Linked DNA regions of Astyanax mexicanus. The protein of the gene in region 1 purifies or fractionates together with the protein of each later gene. This does not show direct contact. Links are inferred from orthologs where the notes say so. Each region holds a gene or a part of one and is shown in the gene's direction. Other genes may lie near its edges. The genes, in order: ccny and cdk14.

Evidence for each region.
Region 2: the proteins of ccny (region 1) and cdk14 purify together in Homo sapiens (affinity purification with western blotting; 3 studies listed by BioGRID and IntAct, with this or other methods). This does not show direct contact. The link is inferred for Astyanax mexicanus from reciprocal best matches to the Homo sapiens genes CCNY and CDK14.

Annotation. Positions count from the first base shown.
Region 1 is NC_064413.1:47,904,399-47,916,458, reverse strand, and holds the start of ccny (cyclin-Y), read left to right. Parts: upstream 1-7,634; 5' UTR 7,635-8,194; coding exon 8,195-8,348; intron 8,349-12,060. UniProt on the Homo sapiens protein: Positive regulatory subunit of the cyclin-dependent kinases CDK14/PFTK1 and CDK16.
Region 2 is NC_064408.1:131,370,222-131,381,685, reverse strand, and holds the start of cdk14 (cyclin-dependent kinase 14), read left to right. Parts: upstream 1-6,242; 5' UTR 6,243-6,357; coding exon 6,358-6,454; intron 6,455-8,201; coding exon 8,202-8,233; intron 8,234-11,464. Other genes in the region: pituitary tumor-transforming gene 1 protein-interacting protein, read left to right, coding at 324-370, 3,238-3,287. UniProt on the Homo sapiens protein: Serine/threonine-protein kinase involved in the control of the eukaryotic cell cycle, whose activity is controlled by an associated cyclin.

The DNA of each region.
Region 1 (12,060 bases):
GAAATTATATAGTAAAAAGTTTAAAAAAGTGTTAGTCCTCCACAGATGGTGATTTGGGATGAGCTGGAGCTTCACAGCATGAAGCATGAAAAGCAGCAACTATTGTTCAGCACCTCCCAGAACTCCTTCAACATGCTGAGAAAACTATTATATTATACTATTATATCCCTCATGAAGACACTGAGATTAAAATACCAAGAGTGTGCAGATCTGTCCTCAAAAATAAATGTGATACTTATTTAGAAGAATCTAAAATATAAAACATATTCTGGTTTACTTTACACTTTTTTGTTACTAAGTAAATATGCATGTGTTTCTGCTTAGCTTTAATATTGTCTTCAATATTAAACAAACAATGTAATAAATCATAAAAATAAAGAAACTAAAAGTTTTTTTTTTTACTGCATAATTCCCTTAATGTATCCCGTAATTGCTATAATTTCTTTAATATTAATATATCATGTAGAAAATCAATTAAATAAAGAAATAAAGACAAACATTGAATGAAAAGGTGTGTCCAAACTTGTGACTGTTACTGTAAATCAATGGCATATAAAATATACAATCCAATACATGTTCCAATAACCACATCTGGTCCACTTCTGGGTTATCATCTGGGTGGTGTATATGTGTATACATTGTTGAGCATTAAATGTAGATCAATTTTATAATAATGTCAATTAATAATTACTTAAGACATAATTTAAAATGATCAATATTTATATTTATATAAATTTATATATTAGTACTGTTAATTAGGTACCCTTATTGTAAAATGTTAACAAAAAATGATTTGCATGTCTGTATATACTGTGCATTTTGTCATATTATTCCCAAGCATCTGACAATGAAGTCCTTTATCTTTGCTCCTCTGCCTGTCACAGGTAAATTATGAAGTATAAATAGGAAACTTTACCTTGAAAAGGAAGCAGTTGGATGTCAACTGCTCCATTTGGTATTAAAGCCTTGGAGAAGCAGTGAATAACTGAGAACAATAACGTTTTATGCTCTTGCTGTTAAAGCTTCTGAGCTCAATGAGGCGAAAATAACTACTGCTGAAGATGATTCAGACCTGGCACAGGTACTGTCATCATTTTTTTTTTTTTTTTTTTTTGTCACCAGAATGCAGCATTTCTTTTTCACCACTAGAGTGCAGTGCTGCACTGGCAGTAGATGTGTAGCACTCTGGCTAGAGTGATGGGATCACCACTTGGTACGTAATCTGAAATAAAAGCTCAAGCTTTGTTTACATGCAGAAATCTCTAATCTCAGATTATCTCAGATTATATAAATACAGGCTGTCTCTTCACTGACTGGCTGGGATTTCAGTTCCAGGGTTAAGCAGTAGGGTAAACCCAGCTGTCAATCATTTGTGACAGTTTTTAATCACTTGTTGAAGGAGCATGATAGGGTATTTTAGCTGAGAGAGGGATGTCAGGAGTTGAAGACCGTATCTAGACTGCAGAGGAATGTCTAGGAATAACTGGGCTAGAAGGATCTATCCCAGTCACTAAAAATCTGTTTTTGTTTCTTTATTCAGTTAAAGATTGAAATGAGCAACAGAAATCTTAAGAAGTTATAAATAAAAAAATTAAGAAGAATAAGAGAGAAAGATTATTAAAAATCTGTAGGATTAGAAATTTGTGACCACTGCCCAGGTTCTCATACTTGTAAAAAAAGTATTTCTTCCACTTAGACTTGCGTTAAGATGATCTGATCTATACTGATAACAAAAATGTTTCTGTATAGTATGAAAAATGGATTATATACAGTACCAGTCAAAAATTTGGATACACCTTTTTATTCAATGTTTTTCTTTCTTTATTCAATTAATTTATTGTCCACATTGCAGAATAATATTAAAGACATTAAAACCTGATAAACTGAGCAACTATTGACATCACCTCTAGGAACGCCTTCCTTCAAGACACTGAGAAAACTATTCCAGGTGACTCTTCCTCATGAAGACACTGAGATTAAAATACTAAGAGTGTGCAGATCTGTCCTCAGAGATAAATATGCTACTTAGAAGAATCTAAAGTGTAAAACATATTCTGGTTTGTTTACAGAATAATTTTGCATGTGTTCCTGTATTGATAGTTACAATATTAAATTTACAATGTAACAAATCATAAAAAAGAAAGAAACACAGGTGTGTCCACACTTTTGAATGCTATTGTAGGAGGAACCACTACCTGCAATGTACAAAACATATATCATCATATCAGTATCATATCAATGTCTAATATCAATGTAAATGGTTGAAAGCGACAATATTTTATTGAAAGGATTTCTCTACCATAAATCCTCTGAAATCAGTGACAGATGCTGTAATTGATGTATATCAAAATATTAAAAAATCATTTAAAAAAAAAATCATCATTTTAAACTTGTTTCTATTGTGATATAGTACATTAATATTGATTGTCCTGCCCTTGCTGGGAGTAGGGAAAATACTTACCATACCATAATGGCCAGTGGGCCTCCAGAAGAACCCTTAGATTAAAGAACACTTCTATAAGCACACTGCCATTAAACCCTAAAGAGGACAATATGCACATATACAAAGACAACTTTGAACCATCAACAAGAACAAACAATGCACAATAGAAGCAGTTAAGTGGTCAGTAGTGGTCTCCACAGTATCTTTATTCAGAATGCATGATTGCTTTTATTCTAGTAATGTAGTTTTGGGCAGGAGAGGATGAGGACGGGTTCTTTTCAGTGTTTCCAATTCATGCTTTTTGAAACTTTCTCTTTTTCAGTCTTTGCTGCTTTCAAAGAATCTTTCTTATATTTTTAAAGAGTTAACCTCACTATTTGTCCCCGTGCCTGCTTAGTTGGATCGAGCTGAGTGATGTTTAAAATTTTTAGATGTTTTCAATACTGATAAATCAACTTTAATAACTGTGACAGATTTCTGAGTAATTAATACGCATGATGTTCCTAACATGCATACTGAACCTAATTTAGACTGCAAATTATGCTAGATCTTTAAAAAAATGCTTATATGCTCACTATGTTTGATAAGCCAGATTGATTAGCTACTTATTGTAAGTATGACATATAATACATATTTTTACCATTAAATTGTATTAATTTAATTTCTTTAAAACAGCTTTGTCTGCTGTGCAATTCATGCGACTTTCACGTATATAAAAGTCAGTATTAATGGTTAACAGGGGTTTGTTCTGTCAACCTTTAATAATAATAATGATCCACCATGATTGGGAGATCGCTGCTTTGAATCCCAGTCATGCAGCTTGCCATCAGCTGCCAGAGCCCCGAGAGAGCACAGTTGGCCTTGCTCTCTCTGGGTGGGTAGATGGCGTTCTTTCCCCTCATCACTCCTAGGGGGATGTTGATCAGCACAAGGCGCCTGTGAGCTGATGTATTAGAACCGAGTCGCTGCTCTTTGCTCCGAGCGTTAGCGCTCTGATGCTACTCGGAAATGCTACATCAGCAGCAGTTCAAAAAGAGGTAGTGGGTGACTTCACATGTGTCGGAGGAGGCTAGTCTTCACCCTCCTTGTGCTGTGCCATCACCAGTGATATATAGTTGAGTAGAAGCTGAATGGATGGGAAAATTGGTCTAGCTAAATTGGGAGAAAATGGGAAAAAACACCTTCCTAATTGTTCCTAATTATGTGCATGAACACTGCTGCAGCATCTTTTCACATTACCTGGCATGCAGCTCTGAGAACCCTCCGAGCGTTTGGACTAAAGGGCTAATAATGCCTCATGATAATGCAGATGCTCATTAGACAACACACTGCATCCCTCCAGCCAGCTGTATCATCAGGAACCCCCTGGCTATTCTGCACAGCATGAGACTGTGAGACGATTAGCAGCTGCAGGGAACTTAATGCGTCATACTCTCTGAGTGTAGAGCCATTTCAGCTACAATAGCTCTATATAAATGTTACTGTTAAAGACAATCCCTCTTAATTCCCTCAGTGCAGGACTTCCAGTATGCACTTTTTTTTTTTTGCTTTGTCTTCAACACCTGAACCAACTAATTAACAGCCCCCCTGTGTGCTGAGTGAGGTGTTCAAGCTAGTGCAGAGAAACCATAAAAATGTGAAAAGCATTAGGGAAGAGTTTGGGAAATCTTGCCTTAACAATATATAAAAAAAAAAAATCTCCTAGCATAAGTGATTTAGAAAATGCAATGTTTACATTGTATTGTAGTATATTGTATTATATTTATTTTATTTTTTGCTTTTAATATAAAGTGTTCATGTAAGATTATGTAAATTTCTTGGGCCAGTTCAGGCATCTGGTTTCAGATCTAAGCTGGTCTTTCCTTTTCAAAATGGTTTAAAAAGCTGCTCATCCAGGCAAAAACTATCTAGCTAACATAAACATAAATAGCGGTCTTAGAACATTCAATTTGTCAAGTTTTCTAGATGTTCTAAGAGCGTTTTTACTAACCGTTTTTATATGTTTCAGTAGAACAGTAGATCTCTAGGACATTATACAGGGTTTGTATGGTCATGAAAACCCTGTAAAAGTCATGGATTTTGAAAATAGCAGTGCCCAGGCCTGAATAAGTTTTGTAAAAATAAAAATACCTAAAAAGATTTGGAAAAGTCATGGAGTTTTGGTCTACAAATCTTTGTGTTTCAGTTTATAAATGGAGAAAATCTAACTTGAGCTAACAAATATGTCAGCTCAGAGTTAATTCAGTAATTTAGCTCCACACAATGGAGCTTGCAGGAATCTGACACACATTTTATTGTTAAGGATTGTGTGTCAACATTTTATCTGATTTGGTTTAGACCTATTATAATCAGTTTTAATTATAGTTTTAGTTGATTTTTGGTTTTATTGTCCATGTCTGCACTGATGTTTTAAAAACTGTCTGGTCATAAAAAATGCCTTGAAGGCATGGACAAAGTCATGAAAAAATCATGGAAAATTATTGGTTAAAACTTGAATCCTGTTATATTTCGGTCAGTCTGACACTGCCAGGTTACACTTCAGAATGTTCAGGAGCTCAGTGATCTAGAAGGAGGTCCCCCACATTGTCTCATACAAACTACTGACTACCATTTCACTTTGATTTTTGTCTGTATGTATTAGGACTCTTGCCTAAGGATGATTATTGGTGAAGAATGATGTTTAGACATTCTAACACTAGGGGGAGTGTTAGCCAATGATATTTAGCTGATGTTCTTTTCTATAGTGACTCAAATGTAAGGTTCATGTTACAGAGGTAGTTTGGTTTGCCCAGGTACTCTTATTGGTGTAGCATTAGATCTAGTCTGCCACTGGGATGGTGGTGTACAGCTTTACAGCTGTGGGTAGATATTACAGTGACATAATTCCTTACATTGCTACCTACAGTATGAAAGGAGACATGATACTCATTAGGACTGCTGTCAAAGTAGGACTTGTAGATAGGATATTTATCACCATCATGCTTCATCATACATCATGACATGCCATGATAGCATAGTCCTCTTATAGTGGAAGACGTTCTTTGTCAAAGCCATTTTTGTGCATTTCTATTTGTCCATTCATCATGCAATTAGGATACAATGTATAGGATAGTTTTCAGTTTCAAATTATGTAAACATTTGAAAATCAACATACAGTGACACACACACACACACAATGCCCTGTGAGATTCCCACTCTAAATGACATACAGTAATTTAAATATAAAACAAGATTTACAATATTGTAATGAACTGTAACACCTTACAACAAAAATGAGAATAATATTTTTAGGAACATGTATATGTGTCTTGTATGTTGATACATATTTGGAGAGACAATACTAGTAAATGTTTTTTTTTTCTTTTGTCTTTGTCTTCTTCTGCATTGTAGATTAAAAGTAAAGAAGTCAAAACTATGAAGGAACACATGAAGTAAATAAAAAAGTGTTAAACAAGCCAAAATAAGATCTATACTTCTTTAAAGTAGCACCTTTTACTTTGATGCCAGCTTTGCCCACTCTTGGCTAATTCTCTCAGTCGTCTTCATGAGGTAGGCCCTGGAATGATTCTTCAGCTGTCTTAAAGGAGTTCTAGAGGTGCTAAGCACTGAGTTCACTACTTAACTCCCTTAACTTCATAGTCCTCAATAATATAATATTATATTATTATTTATCTTTAATATTAATCTACAATGTATTAAACAAAACAAATAAAGGAAAAGTATTAATGAGAATGTGTCCAAATTGGTGACTGTTGCTGTATGTTGTAAAATAATATTAAAACACATCTGTTTATTACTTTTTCATTTTATATTTCTTTTATTTATTTAAAATACCATTTTCTTGCTATTGTTTTATTTTTTGACATGTTTATTATGTATATTTGTTTACTCTGTATTGTAAAACATGTTGAGCTACATTTTAAAGGAGAAATCTGGTGTGAAATTGACATGGGGTATTGAAAAATTATAAAGAGTACAAACTTTTATCAAACAGCCCATCTTCGTTCACCCCCTGCATTCCGAAATCCAGATGCTCCCAACTGACAAGCACAAACAAATATGTAGGATAGGGGAACAGATTGCAAAATAGATTCCATGGAAATGCATGAATGTCAGTTGTTGCTAAAAATGCATTCATGCATTTCCACTAAATTTGTTTTGCAATCTGTTCCCCTGACCTACCTATTCATTTGTGTTCTGGCACAGCAATCACACTCAGTTTCTGCAGGAACTGTAATCTAGCTTTTTTATTATTATTATTTTTCAATAAATTAAATAGCTACATACTGTGGCCTGTGTAATACGCTTTTTTGTCTGCTATCTAACTTTTCAAGGAGACTATATTGTCATTCACTTCACATGGGGTACATGAAGTGGAACAAAATTGTATTCTCACGGTCCAGTTACACCTAAAAAAAGTTATTGTTAAAATATGAGAAATATAAGATAAAATCAAATAGAATAAAATCAAATAACAATAAAACAGATATCAAGTTAAATACACAATATATAAAAGAAGAGTAGAGAAGTAGCAGCAACATAAAATCCAGAGTGTTATTATGCATGCTATAGCAGCATGGATAAGTGTAAATGAAGAGCAGTAAAAGTGTTACTGCATATATGTCCTTCATACTTTCCTTCATAGTCTTTAAAACGAATCTACAATGTAGTAAATAATATAGATAAATAACAAATATTAATGAGAACTTTTGACTGGTACTGTATGTTTTAAAATAATATAAAAAAAAAACATTTGTTTACTACCTTTTTTATTTTATTTATAAAATGTATTTCATTTATTTTGATAATCTCTTCATGCTGTTGTTTTATTTAATTGTGTTTATTTTTTTAATTAAATAAATTAGGTAGCTAGCTATATGGTTAGCCTGTGTATGATCAACACTTTGCTGCTCTTTAGCCTAGTGTATAAGACATTTTAAATGAGGTTGAGCTCTTTTCTAAAAGCTAAAAGTAATCTTAACATAATGGATTAGTTGTCCTGCTTTTTCTTAAACATCTTTATTGCATTTAATTGAATAAATGTCCAACAAATTAATACAATTATAAACGCTAAAAAATAATAATTATAAAGCAGGAAACCCCTGTTTAGCCCTGCTTAGCCCTGTGGAGCCCCTCTGAAACCGGTCCCCCGCCCTCTCGTAGCGGAACCTTTCTTCCGCGTTAGTTAGTATGTTGCAGGGATTGAGGCTCGGCTATGTAGTTGACAGCAGCTGCAGCGGTAGCGGCGGTAGCGACAGTAGCGCTGGGTTAGGTTTAGGTTTGGTTAGCTAGGCTGCCATGTCGCTGTGAGGTTCGTAAATGTGGTCATATAGTGATTAACGCGGTGTATAGTGCGTGTGTAGCGCTGTGTTGGCGGAGGCCGGCTGTGGGAGGGTTGAGGCGGGCGAGGCTGGCTGTGTTTGCGGGCTGTGCGGCTCCGGACGGCGGGCGGGTGGAGGCTGTTTTAGCCTGTATTTATTTATCTGTTTTGTTTAGCTGGTTTAGCGCTAATATGGTTATAAACACTGCGCTCCGCGGAACTGAGCCTTGGGAAAGTAGCTGCTGAGGGTGTGGAGGAAGGGGGTCCGGGGTGGGTAACGTTAGGTAGGTAGCCTAGCTGGTAATAGTGTTTCTCCGCCTGTTCCTCCCTCTGTATCTCCGTTCATCCGTTCCTCGCTCGGGTGGGTGGCTACAGCTACAGCCACACCAGAGATACAGTTAGCAAGGTGGTGAGGTGCCCACAAATACACCATGGGCAACACGACCTCCTGCTGCGTGTCCTCCAGCCCGAAGCTCCGGAGAAATGCCCACTCCAGGCTGGAGCCCTACCGCCCGGAGCCCGAGCTCAGCCGCGAGGACACGGGCTGCAACCTCCAGCACATCAGCGACCGGGAGAACATCGACGGTAGGACCTGTGTGGGCTGAGCCCTCGCTTATTAGTTACTTACACTACAGTTACCAAAACTGTGCTGGATGCAGGGTGATTAAATAGCTAACCTAGCTAACTTACTTAACATTGATATGGGTATGAATGATGTGATCCTAAATTCTATTGTATTTAACCTACACTGCCTGACTAACCCTTCAGTAACAGTACAGCAATAAAAAAATAAAAATAAATAAGAGACCAGTTAAAATGATGAGTTTCTTTGACTTTTAACAAATTGAAAACCTCTGTAATATATAATAAAGAGGAAGATGGATCACAAGCCGAACTGCTTAAATTCTTGCACCAGGAGTGGAATAAAAGTTATCCAAAAGCAGTGTGTAAGACTGGTGGAGGAGAACACTGTGAAAACTGTGAAAAAAAAAACAGGGTTAATCCACCAAATATTGGAATTTTAGGAATATAAACTTGTTTTCTTTGCATTATTTGGGGTCTGAAAGCTCTGCATCTTTGTTGTTATTTCAGGCATTTCTCATTTTCTGCAAATAAATGCTCTAAATTACAATATTTTATTTGGAATTTGGGGAAAATGCTGTTAGTAGTTTATGGAATAAAACAACAATGTTAAATGTATTTACACATATACCTATAAATAGAACAATCAGAGAAACTGGTTTAGAATCTGAAGTAGGGCATATTCCAAGTTGACTCTACCTCATAAAGCTGACTGAGAAAATACAGCCAATATGGCCAAAGCTGTCATTCAACAAGACATGCCTACTTTTAAGAATCTAAAATATAAAACCTATTTTGGATTCTTTAATGTAATTTGGTTTTCTCTATAACTTTGATGACTTTAGTATTAATCAACAATGTAGGAAAAAAAAATAATGTTAAACCACCAAAATTTAGTGGTATCCAAACTTTGACTGGTACTGTGTCTGCCTATGTACTAAAACAAACTTTGACATTACATAAGCTTCTGGAAATGATGCCACAGTCTTTGGGTGGCGTAATTAAAGCTAAAGGCAGTCCAACCAAATATTAGAGTGTGTGACCTTTTCTGACCAGGAACTGTTTTGTTTTATATAAATATTTATTGGCCACTTATCATGCCCCAAGCAGCCTAGTTGACACATTAACAACAAGGAACATACCAGGCTTTGTGGTGTTGTGCTCCCAGCCTGAGTAGCTTAGCTAAATACTACGTAGTTTTGTGCACAGTGTAGTTATAGTGTGTATATATAGCTGTCATGCCGTAGGCAGTCAATGAGTAATTGGTAAACCAATAAGCAATGTTTAGTTTGATGTAGCCTACATAGCAATAGATAGCATTTTATTTTTTATTTTATAATTACATACATATAAAAGGTTCAGTAGCTTAGCCATATACTGTATGTGATGTGTGTGCAGCAGTACAGTTATAATATAGCTGTCATGCCTGAAGCAATCAATGGGCAATGGGTAAATCAATAAGCAGTCTGTATGGTTTGTGATGTTGGAAGTAGAATTGATGACACATTAGAGACTGGGAAAAAATATAAGTACCAATGCATGGTAGATAACATGTCCTGCCAAAAATTGGATGCTGTATAATCATGTCATGCACACTATCCAGGCTGGAGGGCCTTTTTGTGACCACAGCCTTTGCTGTATGTAGTTTAGAAAGGATATTATCAGTGATGGATAGTTCAGAGTTCCACACCCTAGTGCAAAAATCCTGAGTAGCAATGGGATTTTTATTAGAAATGTATTCTGTATATTGAGTAGAATATAAACAGGAATAATATCAAGGTTGGTTGGGTGGCCTTGGGGTTGTGATGCCAGACTTTGTTGCATGCAGTGTAGAAAGCATGTTAGCAGTGATGGATGGTTTGTGGTGCCCTTTCAAGGGAAAAATCCATTATTTTTATATAAATATATGTATGTACGCTAGTTATCATGGCCCAAGCAGCTAAGCTGGCACATAAGAAACAGAAAAAGACCCCAAAATGTGTCGCATAAATGGCATATCAGCAGTGGGGTGGTTTGTGGTGCCATGACTGCAGTTTCTGTACTGTACGTATATAAATTTGTTGTGATGTATTTGTTGATGGTAATTAGGGTAAGATAAGTAGGTGAATTTAAGTTTGTTATCCTTGACTGTTCTGTTTACAAGGCATGTCAAGAGTTGTGTGGCTTATGGTACTATTATCGTATACTGTGTAGCATAAGTATTAGAGCTGCACAATATATACAATATATTGCACTAGTCAGATCACAGGACATGCAATGTTTTGTGTAATGGTAAATTATATATATTTTTAAAACTTTCTTGCTGCTTAATACAAAAAGAGAGAAATCACAATATCTACCAGATTTACAATTATATCAACCGAATATCATTTGTTTTAATACAGTCATTATTACACAGACTTCAATATTATTATGACATGTTGGATCACTGACACCTACCAAAATCTAGTGAAATTCCTGTATTTTTAAATAGCATATATATTGCAATGTCATTTTTCTTTTTCAGTTTTACGAAACTCTAATATGTACTGTGTATTTAAAGTGATCGTTTAGCTATTAAGCCTTGAGCTATCAACAATACAGTACATTAACAAAAGGGCCTATATCAGGGGTAGGTGGTTGTAGGGTTGTGACTTTAGATTAATTTAGTTAAATTAGCCTTATGACATGATGAGCAAAGTTTGAATGCCCTATATAGCAAGGACATGACATTAGAAATAGCAACAGGAAAATAACAAGGGTTGTAGGGTTGTGACCCCAGACTGTGTTACATCAGGAGAGAGGGGTGGTATGAGGTGATCCCAGCTTAAGTAGCAACAGGGAAATATCAAGGATGATGAGTGGTTTGTTGAGTTGAAGTAGCCTACAAGGCACATTAAATAATATACACAGACACCAGGTAGATATAATGCACTAAATAATCTAGATGACACGTACATATGGATTAAATCAATGCTAGGTGGCCTTTGCAGGGTTAAGTTATCATGTCCCAAACAATCAGCAAGCTTCATGCTTCATCAACAAGAGGTAATATCAAGCGTGGGTGGGTGTGAGGTTGTGACCCAAGATTAACTGTGATCGATGCAGCAGTTTATATGTAGTATAAGTAGTTTATATGGCATGTTGGCAGAGTTCGGTGGTACATGGTGTTACAACCCTTGATCAAGTAGATGATAAGTGGTTTGAGATGATATTAGCTCAGCCTAAGTGCCCTTTAAAGCACATCTGCAACAGGGAGAAATTCTGGGTTGGTGGTTGTATTGTACTATTAACTTGACTATATGACTATTTTCTGCAATTGATATGTCATTTAGTGCTTCAGCTAATGATTATTTTGGTAGCAGACTAAACTGACAATTTTTCCCTTCCTGTGAGCATGGCTCCTGTTTTAATGCACATTTTACCTTACCTGCTCAGGTCTGCACACCTGAGACCACTACCGTGTTGTCCAGTCTCTGTCATAACATAAGTTACCATATCTAATTAAATAGAAACAGATGAAAGTTGAATATAAGTGTAAGCTTAATAGCCTAATCAAATGTGTGTTAATAAAGTAAGTAATCCATACCCCTTCCCTGTTGTGTTTCTGTCTCCATGTCTCCTGACATTGTTGATTATGTTGAATAATAATTGTAGCCCTAATGTCACAACAATGCAGTTATAGCCTTTTAAAGAGCGGTTAATGAATTTAGATAAAACTAGTTTGGGAAATGGT
Region 2 (11,464 bases), on another chromosome or scaffold:
TGAGTATGAGAAGAACATGCCTCCACCCAGATAGAGACTTGAACCCAAGACCCCATCAATAGAAAGCAAACGAGCCAAAATCAGGATAAACTCTTTTAATACAGTTAATTTCAGAAACAGTGAATGAACAGCTGTTCTGATACTTGCATGTTACTGTTAATTTACATGTATATTTATTTTATATATCTGTAATTTATATATTTAATTTACATAAATGTATATGTGAACTCCAGTCAGTGTATTAAAAGATTCATATCTTCACGTGTAATAGATTAGCGATCAGTAACTGTGTGTGTGTGTGTGTGTGTGTGTGTGTTCTGCAGGAAGTCGGAGAGGAGGGCGAGACACGATGAGATCCGGAAAAAGTATGGTGAGTAACGAATTGTATGATGTCATCAGCGTATTCCGTATTCCGTAATCCTCGTAGATTGAAAATGGTCAATAGAGCACTTTTAGTGTTTTAGTGAATAACTGTAAAGACTTCAATTGTAATTACAAACTATAATGACTCTGCAGCAAGCCCCACCCTGCACCATGTTTTCAGACAAGAAAAACAACAGAAAACAACAGTATTCGGTATGCACTTATCACACGCACATTCTACCGCACACACCACCTATCATAGTCTACCACATGCACCATCTACCGCACGCACTGTGTACCACGTGCACCACCTATCATAGTCTACCACATGCACCATCTACCTCATGCACCACCTATCATAGTCTACCACACGCACCATCTACCTCATGCACCACCTATCATAGTCTACCCCACACACCGTCTACCGCATGCACCACCTACCGTGTGCACTGCCTACCGCACGCACCGTCTGAAAACACCAGCATCCAACCACTCCACCCTCCACAAACCTGAGTGATCAAACATCAGCACCAGCATCTCAGTTTACCCACAATTCCCTCTGTCCATGAACCCCTGGATCTGCAGCCTTATCTAAAGGAAAAAACATTAATTACCAAAAGCTAAACTAAACAAGTAAGTGTGTGTGTGTGTGTGTGTAGAGTCGGTGATATTAGCTGATCTGCTGCAGCTCCAACATCTACCGTATAATCACTAATAACCCCACCCCCCCACCACCGCCATGCCTCACTGCCCGGGGTTAAAGGTCAGAGGACAGGCGTCCGGGCGTCCTGGATGATAAATCATCTGAGCTAATTACTGTGAGCACTGAGCTCTGTGATTAATAGACACCCTCACTGTCCCCTGTGAGGGACAGGAGGAAATGCTAATGAGCTTCAGAGAGAGACCCTGACCTCCGGCTTTTTATCATACTTACATTTTTCAGATTATCAAACAAACTTTAATATCTGACAAATATAACCTGAGTTTAATTTCACTAATAACCAAAACCAGACCTGATCACTGATTCCAGACCTGTAGAATCAATAAATCACTTATATAATAGAACCTGTCTGACAACATGAAGCATATAAAAGATCATTTTACATTTCACATTATTATTATTATTATTATTATTACCCCCATCTGAAGAAACTCAACAAAAGATGAAAAAAAAACAAAGTTATTGATCATGTATCAGTCTGGAAAAGATTATAAAATCATTTCTAAAGCTTTGAGACTCCAGAGAACCACAGTGATTCACTATTATTCACTAATGGAGAAAAACCATGGAACACTGGTGAACCTTCCCAGGAGTGACCGGCCGACCGAAATTACTCAAAAAGGGCATGAAGAACTCATCCAGGAGATCCCAAAAGAACCCAGAACAACACTTAAAGAACTGCCCTCAAGCTCCAGAGTACTTGGGTTCTGCAGCAGGACAATGACCCAAAGCACACAAACAACAAGTTCACTGTCTCTGAATGGATTAATTAAGTAAACAAAGGTTTTGGAGGGTCTAGTTAAAGTCTGATTGAGATGCTGTGGATTATTTTAAACAGTGTAATTACACACACTCACCAGCAGGGGGCAGCAGAGCTGAACTAATACAACCCAGTGGGAGTGAAAGTAGGCAGTGTATTCTAAAACATGGTTCTGACTGCTGATTAAGGTTAAATTGTTGAAATTGTTTTATTATAATAATATAATACACAATAATTCCTGGCTAAGTTTAGCATATGTAGGAGATAATAACCTTCATGTATTACGTTATATATGGTGTCACTGTTTGTGAATATTATATTACATTTTCTACGTTAGTATTCTCTGTGCAGAAAATGTTGTGTTTGAGTTTGTTTAGAGGATTATTTGGTTTATTTTGTTCAGAACTTTAGTAAAACGTCGCTGAAACAGATCGTTTATTAAGACTAATTCTGAACAGTAAACCAATACAATCAGTCGGATCAGTTAAACTGAATCCTTTTCTAAGGTCAGACATCTTTACATAGTGTGAATCCTACAGCTCTTCCTAAACTCATCCTTATCTCTCCCTCTGCTCTCCCTCCTTAGCTTTTCCTTAGCTTTTCTTGACTCATCTTTAGCTCTTCCTTTGCTTTCCCTTAACTCGCCTTTATCTCTTCTTTAGCTTTTTAACATATCCTTTGCTTTTCCTCAACTCATCCTTAGCTTTTCCTTTTCTCTTTGTAAACTCATCTTTAGTTCTCCCTCTGCTTTTTAGCTCTTTCTCAACTACCCTTTAACTCTTCATTTACTACTCTTTAGCTCTTCATTTACTACTCCTTAGCTTTCCCTCAACTCATCCTTAGCTCTTCCTCTACTCTTTGTAAACTCATCCTTAGCTCTTCCTTTTCTTTCCCTGAACACGTCTTTAACTCTTCCTTAGCTTTTTAACATATCCTTTGCTTTTCCTCAACTCATCCTTAGCTCGTCCTCTTCTCTTTGTAAACTCATCTTTAGCTCTTCCTCTGCTTTTCCTAAACTCATCTTTAACACTTCCTTAGCCCTTCAACTAATCCTTGGCTTTCCCTCAGCTCTTCCTCACTTACTTTTTAGCTCTTCCTTTACTACTCCTTAACTCTTCCTCAAATACTGCTTAGCTCTTCCTCAACTACTCCTTTGCTTTCCCTCAACTCATCCTTAGCTCTTCCTCTGCTCCTCACCTCATCCTTTGCTTTCCCTCAACTCATCTTTAACTATTCCATAGGTCTTCAACTAATCCTTAGCTTTTCCTCAGCGCTTCCTCAACTACTCTTTAGCTCTTCCTCTGCTTTCCCTCAACTCATCTTTAACTCCTCCTTTGCTCTTCCTCTGCTCATCCCCTGATCCAGTTTTTTCTCTGGTGTGTTTTGGTTCCAGGTCTTATTCCGGACTCTGATCACCCGTACAGTCGTTTTGAGAACGAGTAAACCGGGAACCGGCGGGAGAACGCTGAGGAACGTTCTCCTCTCCAGCAGACGAGCATCCAAACTCCTCCTCCTCCTCTTCCTTCAGCTCTATCTGATCACAGATCTGTCTGATTCGCCGCAGCGCTCCTCCTGACTCCGCCCCCCATCCTCACTGACGCAATACACCAGCCTGATTAACGGAATGATGGGAAATTCTCTGGTAGTGGAGTGTTTATTATCTGCTCTGGGTTCTGAAGGTTCTCTGACACGTCGTTGGTTTTGAATGTTAAATTTAGTAATTCGTTTTTTTTTGATCTGCTGTTTTAAATCACTGTATCCGTGCTCTTCTTAACGATTCCTAATAAAGTTCTTCTACTTTTACCTCGTTATCTCGACTCCTTCTTCCCCTGGAGCATCTCCGAGCTCCACCCATCACAGACCTGCTCCGAACATTAGTACTGGAGTTTGAGTCTGAGTAGAAGTCCAATCACATCCTGACCCGCATTCAGCTCCGCCTCCAGGCCTTCACTTTCATCTCCAGCACAGGAGCAGCTATCCATACTAACACCAGCTCCATCCCATAATAACATAAAACCATCCCATACTAAATCCAGTTCCATCCCATTATACAATAAATCCATCCCATAATAACATAAAACCATCCCACACTAAATCCAGCTCCATCCCATTATACAATAAATCCATCCCATAATAACATAAAACTATCCCATACCAAATTCAGCTCCATCCCATAATAACAAAACCATTCGATAATATAAATCTATACCATAATAATATAAATCCATCCCATAATAACAAAATCACATCCCATACTAAATCCAGTTCCTTCCCATTATACAATAAATCCATTCCATCATAACATAAAACCATACACCAGCTCCATCCCATAATAACGTAAAACCATTCCATAATATAAATCTATACCATAATAATATAAATCCATCCCATAATAACATAAACACATCCCATAATAATATAAATCCATCCCATTCTAAAACCAGCTCCATTCCATAATAACATAAATCCATCCCATAATATAAATCCATCCCATAATTAAAATAAATCTATCCCATAACATAAAACCATTCCATTATATAAATCCATCCCATAATTAAGATAAATATATGCCATAATAACATAAACCCATCCCATAATATAAATCCATCTCATACTAAAACAAGCTCCATCTTATAACATAAATCCAACCCATAATAATTTAAATCTATCCCATGACATAAAACCATCCCATAAAAAAATCCATCCCATAATAATATAAATCCATCCTATCATAAAATAAATATATCCTATAATATAAACCATCCCATAATAAAAAAAACATCCGATAATAATATAGCTCCATCCCATAATAATTTAAAACCATCCCATAATAATATAGCTCCATCCCATAATAATATAAATCCATCCTATCATAAAATAAATATATCCTATAATATAAACCATCCCATAATAAAAAAACATCCGATAATAATATAGCTCCATCCCATAATAATATAAATCCATCCTATCATAAAATAAATATATCCTATAATATAAACCATCAATAATAAAAATAAAATAACAATAATAAAAAAACATCCGATAATAATATAGCTCCATCCCATAATAATTTAAAACCATCCTATTATTACATAAAACCATCCCATAATAAAAAAACATCCTATAATAATATAGCTCCATCCCATAATAATTTAAAACCATCCTATTATTACATAAAACCATCCCATAATAATATAGCTCCATCCCATAAAAAACATCCTATAATAATATAGCTCCATCCCATAATAATTTAAAACCATCCCATAATAATATATATCCATCAGACTCGTGTTTATTCATTATCTGATCCAGAGAGTCCTAATCTATTGGCAGGGGCCAGACCCGCTGTGTGTGTCTGTGTGTAGTGTGTGTAGTGAGTGTGTAATGTGGGTGTGTGTAGTATGTGTTTGTAGTGTGTGTGTGTGTAGTGTGTGTGTAGTGTGTGTTTGTAGTGTTTGTGTGTGTGTGTAGTGAGTGTGCAGGGTGTGTAGTGTGTGTGTAATGTGGGTGTGTGTAGTGTGTGTTTGTAGTGTGTGTGTGTGTAGTGTGTGTGTAGTGTGTGTGTGTGTGTGTGTGTGTGTGTGCAGGTCAGCGTTCACTAGAGTGTGTGTGTGAATATTCGGGTGTACCGTTTTTCACTACAGCTCATTTCAGCTGCTGCGGTTTAAACATCTGCAAAACTGGAAACATTCAGCAACAGCTGCACCCTCTGCACTGACACACCCTACACACTACACACACTACACACACAGTACACACACACACACACACACACTACACACACACACTACACACCACACACACACTACACACACACTACACACTACACACACACTACACACACACTACACACACACTGCACACAGTACACACACTACACACACACACACACACACACTACACACTCACTACACACACTGTGCACGCACACTACACACACACTACACACACACTCGCTACACACCCTGCACACACTGCACATACTGCACATACACTGCACAATGCACATTCACTACACACACTGTGCACGCACTACACAACCTACACACTACATGTGCACTACACACTGCAGACAAACTACATGCACTACACACACTTAGTCTCTCATCCTCTCTCTTTCACTCTCTCTTGTGTCTGCTGAGAGTGTGTGGGCGGAGCTTATCCACAATACGTTTCCTGTGCTCCTGTGTAGCCAATCAGAGCGCAGCAGAGAGACATAGAGAGAGAGAGGTTTAGTCTTTATCTCTCTCTCAGTGTCTGTCTGAGTGTGTGTGTATCAGTGTGTGTTGGTGCATCAGTGTGTGTTGTGTGTGTGTGTGTGTTGGGGTTAGTGTGTGTGTATTACTGTGTGTGTATTAGTGTGTGTGTGTAGTGGGGGGGGGGAGGGCAGTGATGAGTCCAGCGGTGGTCACATCATCTGGATCTGGATTTGACACACGCACGCGCGCGCGGAGGAGCTCGAGCAGTTTTTAAAACAACACACGCGCACACGCGCGCTGGATGAGCGTGAGATATGTGTGACTTCATCGCCGGTTCCGGTGAGCGCGCGGAGAAACTCGGCAGGATGAAGAAGCTCCGGAGAACTTTATCAGACAGCTTCAGCCGCATCGGTGAGTACACACACACTATACACAATACACACACACGCTATACACACACACTACACACTATACACTACACACTATACTCACACACACTATACAAGCACTACACACTATACATTACACACTATACACACACACACACACACACTACATACACTACACACTATATAAACACTATACACAATACACACTCACACTATACACTACACACTACACACACACACTACACACACACACACACTATACACACACACATGATACACTACACACACACTATACACAATGCACACACACACTATACACACACTGCACACTATAAACACACACACACTATATACACTACACACTATATAAACACTATACACTATACACATTATTTGGGTGGTGTGTGGTTATTCTCAGCACTGCAGTGATTAGCAGTGATTAGCATGGTGGTGGTGTATGATGTGTTAGTGAGTGTTGAGCTGGTGGTACAGTGAGTGGATCAGATACAGCAGTGATTAGCACTGATTAGCATGGTGGTGGTGTATGAGGTGTTAGTGAGTGTTGACCTGGTACAGTGAGTGGATCAGATACAGCAGTGATTAGCACTGATTAGCATGGTGGTGGTGTATGAGGTGTTAGTGTGTGTTGAGCTGGTGGTACAGTGAGTGGATCAGATACAGCAGTTATTAGCATGGTGGTGGTGTATGAGGTGTTAGTGTGTGTTGAGCTGGTGGTACAGTGAGTGGATCAGATACAGCAGTGATTAGCATGGTGGTGGTGTATGAGGTGTTAGTGTGTGTTGAGCTGGTGGTACAGTGAGTGGATCAGATACAGCAGTGATTAGCATGGTGGTGGTGTATGAGGTGTTAGTGTGTGTTGAGCTGGTGGTACAGTGAGTGGATCAGATACAGCAGTGATTAGCATGGTGGTGGCGTATGAGGTGTTAGTGAGTGTTGAGCTGGTACAGTGAGTGGATCAGATGTTCTGATGGGTCAGTGTTCTGATGGGTCAGTGTTCTGATGGGTCAGTGTTTTGGTGGGTCAGTGTTCTGTTGGGTCAGTGTTTTGTTGGGTCAGTGTTTTAATGGGTCAGTGTTTTGTTGGGTCAGTGTTCTGTGTGTCAATGTTCTGTTGGGTCAGTGTTCTGAAGGGTCAGTGTTCTGATGGGTCAGTTTTCTGATGGGTCAGTTTTCTGTTGGGTCAATTTTCTGTTGGGTCAGTGTTGTGTTGGGTTAGTGTTCTGATGGGTCAGTGTTCTGATGGGTCAGTGTTCTGATGGGTCAGTGTTCTGTTGGGTCAGTGTTTTAATGGGTCAGTTTTCTTCTGGGTCAGTGTTTTGGTGGGTCAGTGTTTTGATGTGTCAGTGTTTTAATGGGTCAGTGTTCTGTTGGGTCAGTGTTCTGATGGGTCAGTGTTCTGATGGGTCAGTGTTCTGATGGGTCAGTGTTTTAATGGGTCAGTGTTCTGTTGGGTCAGTGTTTTGATGGGTCAGTGTTCTGATGGGTCAGTGTTCTGTTGGGTCAGTGTTCTGATGGGTCAGTGTTCTGATGGGTCAGTGTTTTGGTGGGTCAGTGTTTTGATGGGTCAGTGTTCTGTTGGGTCAGTGTTCTGTTGGGTCAGTGTTCTGATGGGTCAGTGTTCTGTTGGGTCAGTGTTCTGTTGGGTCAGTGTTCTGATGGGTCAGTGTTGTGATGGGTCAGAGTTTTGAAGGAGGAACTGATGTTCTGTAATGAGGAACTGATGATCTCTCTTCTCTTTTTCCTCTGTAGCTCTGAAGAAGGAGGACGGTGGTTTTGATGAGGTAAGTGGAAACGCTGGCTGGTTTGAGGGAGCGTGGGCTGAGGGTGGAGGTGGCGGGTGAGGTGGCGGGTGGAGTGACTGACGGTCCTCTGCACAGTGCGAGCGGTGTACTCGTCCCTTTAATCGTTACTGTTATTGATCTTGTGACATACATAACACACAAGGCTGCAATATGCAAATAACCCCTCTGACCAAGAGCCAGAGCATTACTGAGGTCAGATGTTGGATAATAATCTGGTAAATGTTTTAGCCTAATACTGATGTGTACAGCATGAGAGCTGCTGTAGAGTTACTGCGGAGCAGTTGAAGAGCTGCTTTAAAGCTGCAGTGAAGTAGTTTCGGTGCTTCATTAGAGCTGCAATAGAGCTGGTGTAGAACTACAGTAGAGCTGCCATAGCAGTAATGTAGAACTGCTGTAGCGAGCTGTAGCGAGGCCACTGTAGAGCTGCTGAACATCTGAAGAGCCTTAAAAGAGCTGATGTAGAGCTGTCATAGAGTTGATGTAGAGCTAATGTAGAGCTGATTTAAAGCTGATGTAGCGCTGCTTTAAGTCTGATGTAGAGCTGCTTTAAAGCTGATGTAGAGCTACTGTAGAGATGGAGTAGAGCTGCTTTAAAGCTGCCAAAGAAATGCTGTAGAGTCACAGTAGGTCTGCCATTGAGCTGCTGGAAAGCTGGAGCACAGCTGCTGTAGAGCTACAGCAGAGGAAGAACTAGCATAGAGCTGGAGTAGAGCTACAGTAGAGCTGAAACAGAGCTGCTGTAGAGCTACAGTAGAACTGATGAAGATCTGGAGTAGAGCTATATTAAAGCTGATGTAGAGCTACAATAGAGCTGATGTGGAGCTGATATAAATCTGGAGTAACAGTACAGTTGAGCTGAAACAGAGCTGCTGTAGAGCTACAGTAGAACTGATGTAGATCTGGAGTAGAGCTATATTAAAGCTGATGTAGAGCTACAATAGAGCTGATGTAGAGCTGATATAAATCTGGAGTAACACTACAGTAGAGCTGCTATAGAGCTGGAGAACTGCTACAGTAGAGCTGTAGTAAAGCTGATGTAGAGCTGATGTAAAGTTACAGTAGAGCTGAAGTAGAGCGGTCGTAGAGCTGATGTAGGGCTACAGAAGATCTGCTATAGAGATACAGGAGAGCTGTAATTAAGCTGACAGGCGCTGTAGGTGTGGAGTACAGCTGCTGTAGAGCTACAGAATATCTACTGTAAAGCTAGAGTAGAGCTGATGTAGAGCTGCTGTAGAGCTGAATGCAGTTAGTGAAATTGAATCTCCAGGTTCACTAGTACCAGCAGGCACATCAGAATCGTTAATGGATTTTATTTATATTGTATATATATTGAGATTGTATATATTGAGATTGTGTGCATATATTGAGATTGTATATATAGAGATTGTATATATTGAGATTGTGTGTGTATATTGAGATTGTATATATATTGAGATTGTATATATATTGAGATTGTATATATTGAGATTGTATATATATTGAGATTGTATATATTGAGATTGTATATATATTGAGATTGTATATATATTGAGATTGTATATATATTGAGATTGTGTATATATATTGAGATTGTGTATATATATTGAGATTGTATATATATTGAGATTGTGTATATATATTGAGATTGTGTTTATATATTGAGACTGTATATATTGAGATTGTGTTTATATATTGAGATTGTATATATATTGAGATTGTATATATTGAGATTGTATATATATTGAGATTGTATATATATTGAGATTGTATATATATTGAGATTGTATATGTTGAGATTGTATATATATTGAGATTGTGTATATATATTGAGATTGTATATATATTGAGATTGTGTATGTATATTGAGATTGTATATATATTGAGATTGTGTATATATATTGAGATTGTATATATTGAGATTGTATATATATTGAGATTGTGTATATATATTGAGATTGTATATATTGAGATTGTGTGTATATATTGAGATTGTATATATATTGAGATTGTATATATATTGAGATTGTGTATATATATTGAGATTGTGTATATATTGAGATTGTATATATTGAGATTGTGTATATATATTGAGATTGTATATATTGAGATTGTGTATATATATTGAGATTGTATATATATTGAGATTGTGTATATATATTGAGATTGTATATATATTGAGATTGTATATATAGAAATTGTATATATAGAAATTGTATATATTGAGATTGTGTGTATATATTGAGATTGTGTGTATATATTGAGATTGTATGTATTGAGATTGTGTGTATATATTGAGATTGTGTATATATTGAGATTGTATATATTGAGATTGTATATATATTGAGATTGTATATATATTGAGATTGTATATATTGAGATTGTATATATTGAGATTGTATATATATAGAGATTGTATATATATTGAGATTGTATATATATTGAGATTGTGTATATATATTGAGATTGTATATATATATTGAGATTGTATATATATTGAGATTGTGTATATATATTGAGATTGTGTATATATATTGAGATTGTGTGTATATATTGAGATTGTGTGTATATATTGAGATTGTATATATATAGAGATTGTATATATATTGAGATTGTATATATTGAGATTGTATATATATTGAGATTGTATATATATAGAGATTGTATATATATTGAGATTGTATATATATTGAGATTGTGTATATATATTGAGATTGTATATATATTGAGATTGTATATATATTGAGATTGTGTATATATATTGAGATTGTGTATATATATTGAGATTGTATATATTGAGATTGTGTGTATATATTGAGATTGTGTGTATATATTGAGATTGTGTGAATATATTGAGATTGTATAAAATGAGATTGTGTATATTTATTGAGATTGTATATATATTGAGATAGTATGAGTGGACCTGTTGTGTAAATGAAGGCAGGTCGGATCAGATCAGCATGGTCAGAATAAAGGTCTGTAGAAAAGCATGAGCAGAACTGATCTGTAAACCATGAGGACAGGCTGCACTCACTGCCTTTGATCTTTGAATAATAAAATAATAAACAACAGAACAATAGAAATGCAGTGAATAAAAGATACGAGTGTTTAATATCACACTGCTGGAGTCAGTAATAGAATTGTGGTTCATATTTAATTCATGTACTGTAGCCCTAACCTCAGCTCTCTCACACACACACACACACTGCTGACTGTGCGCACTGTGTGTGTGTG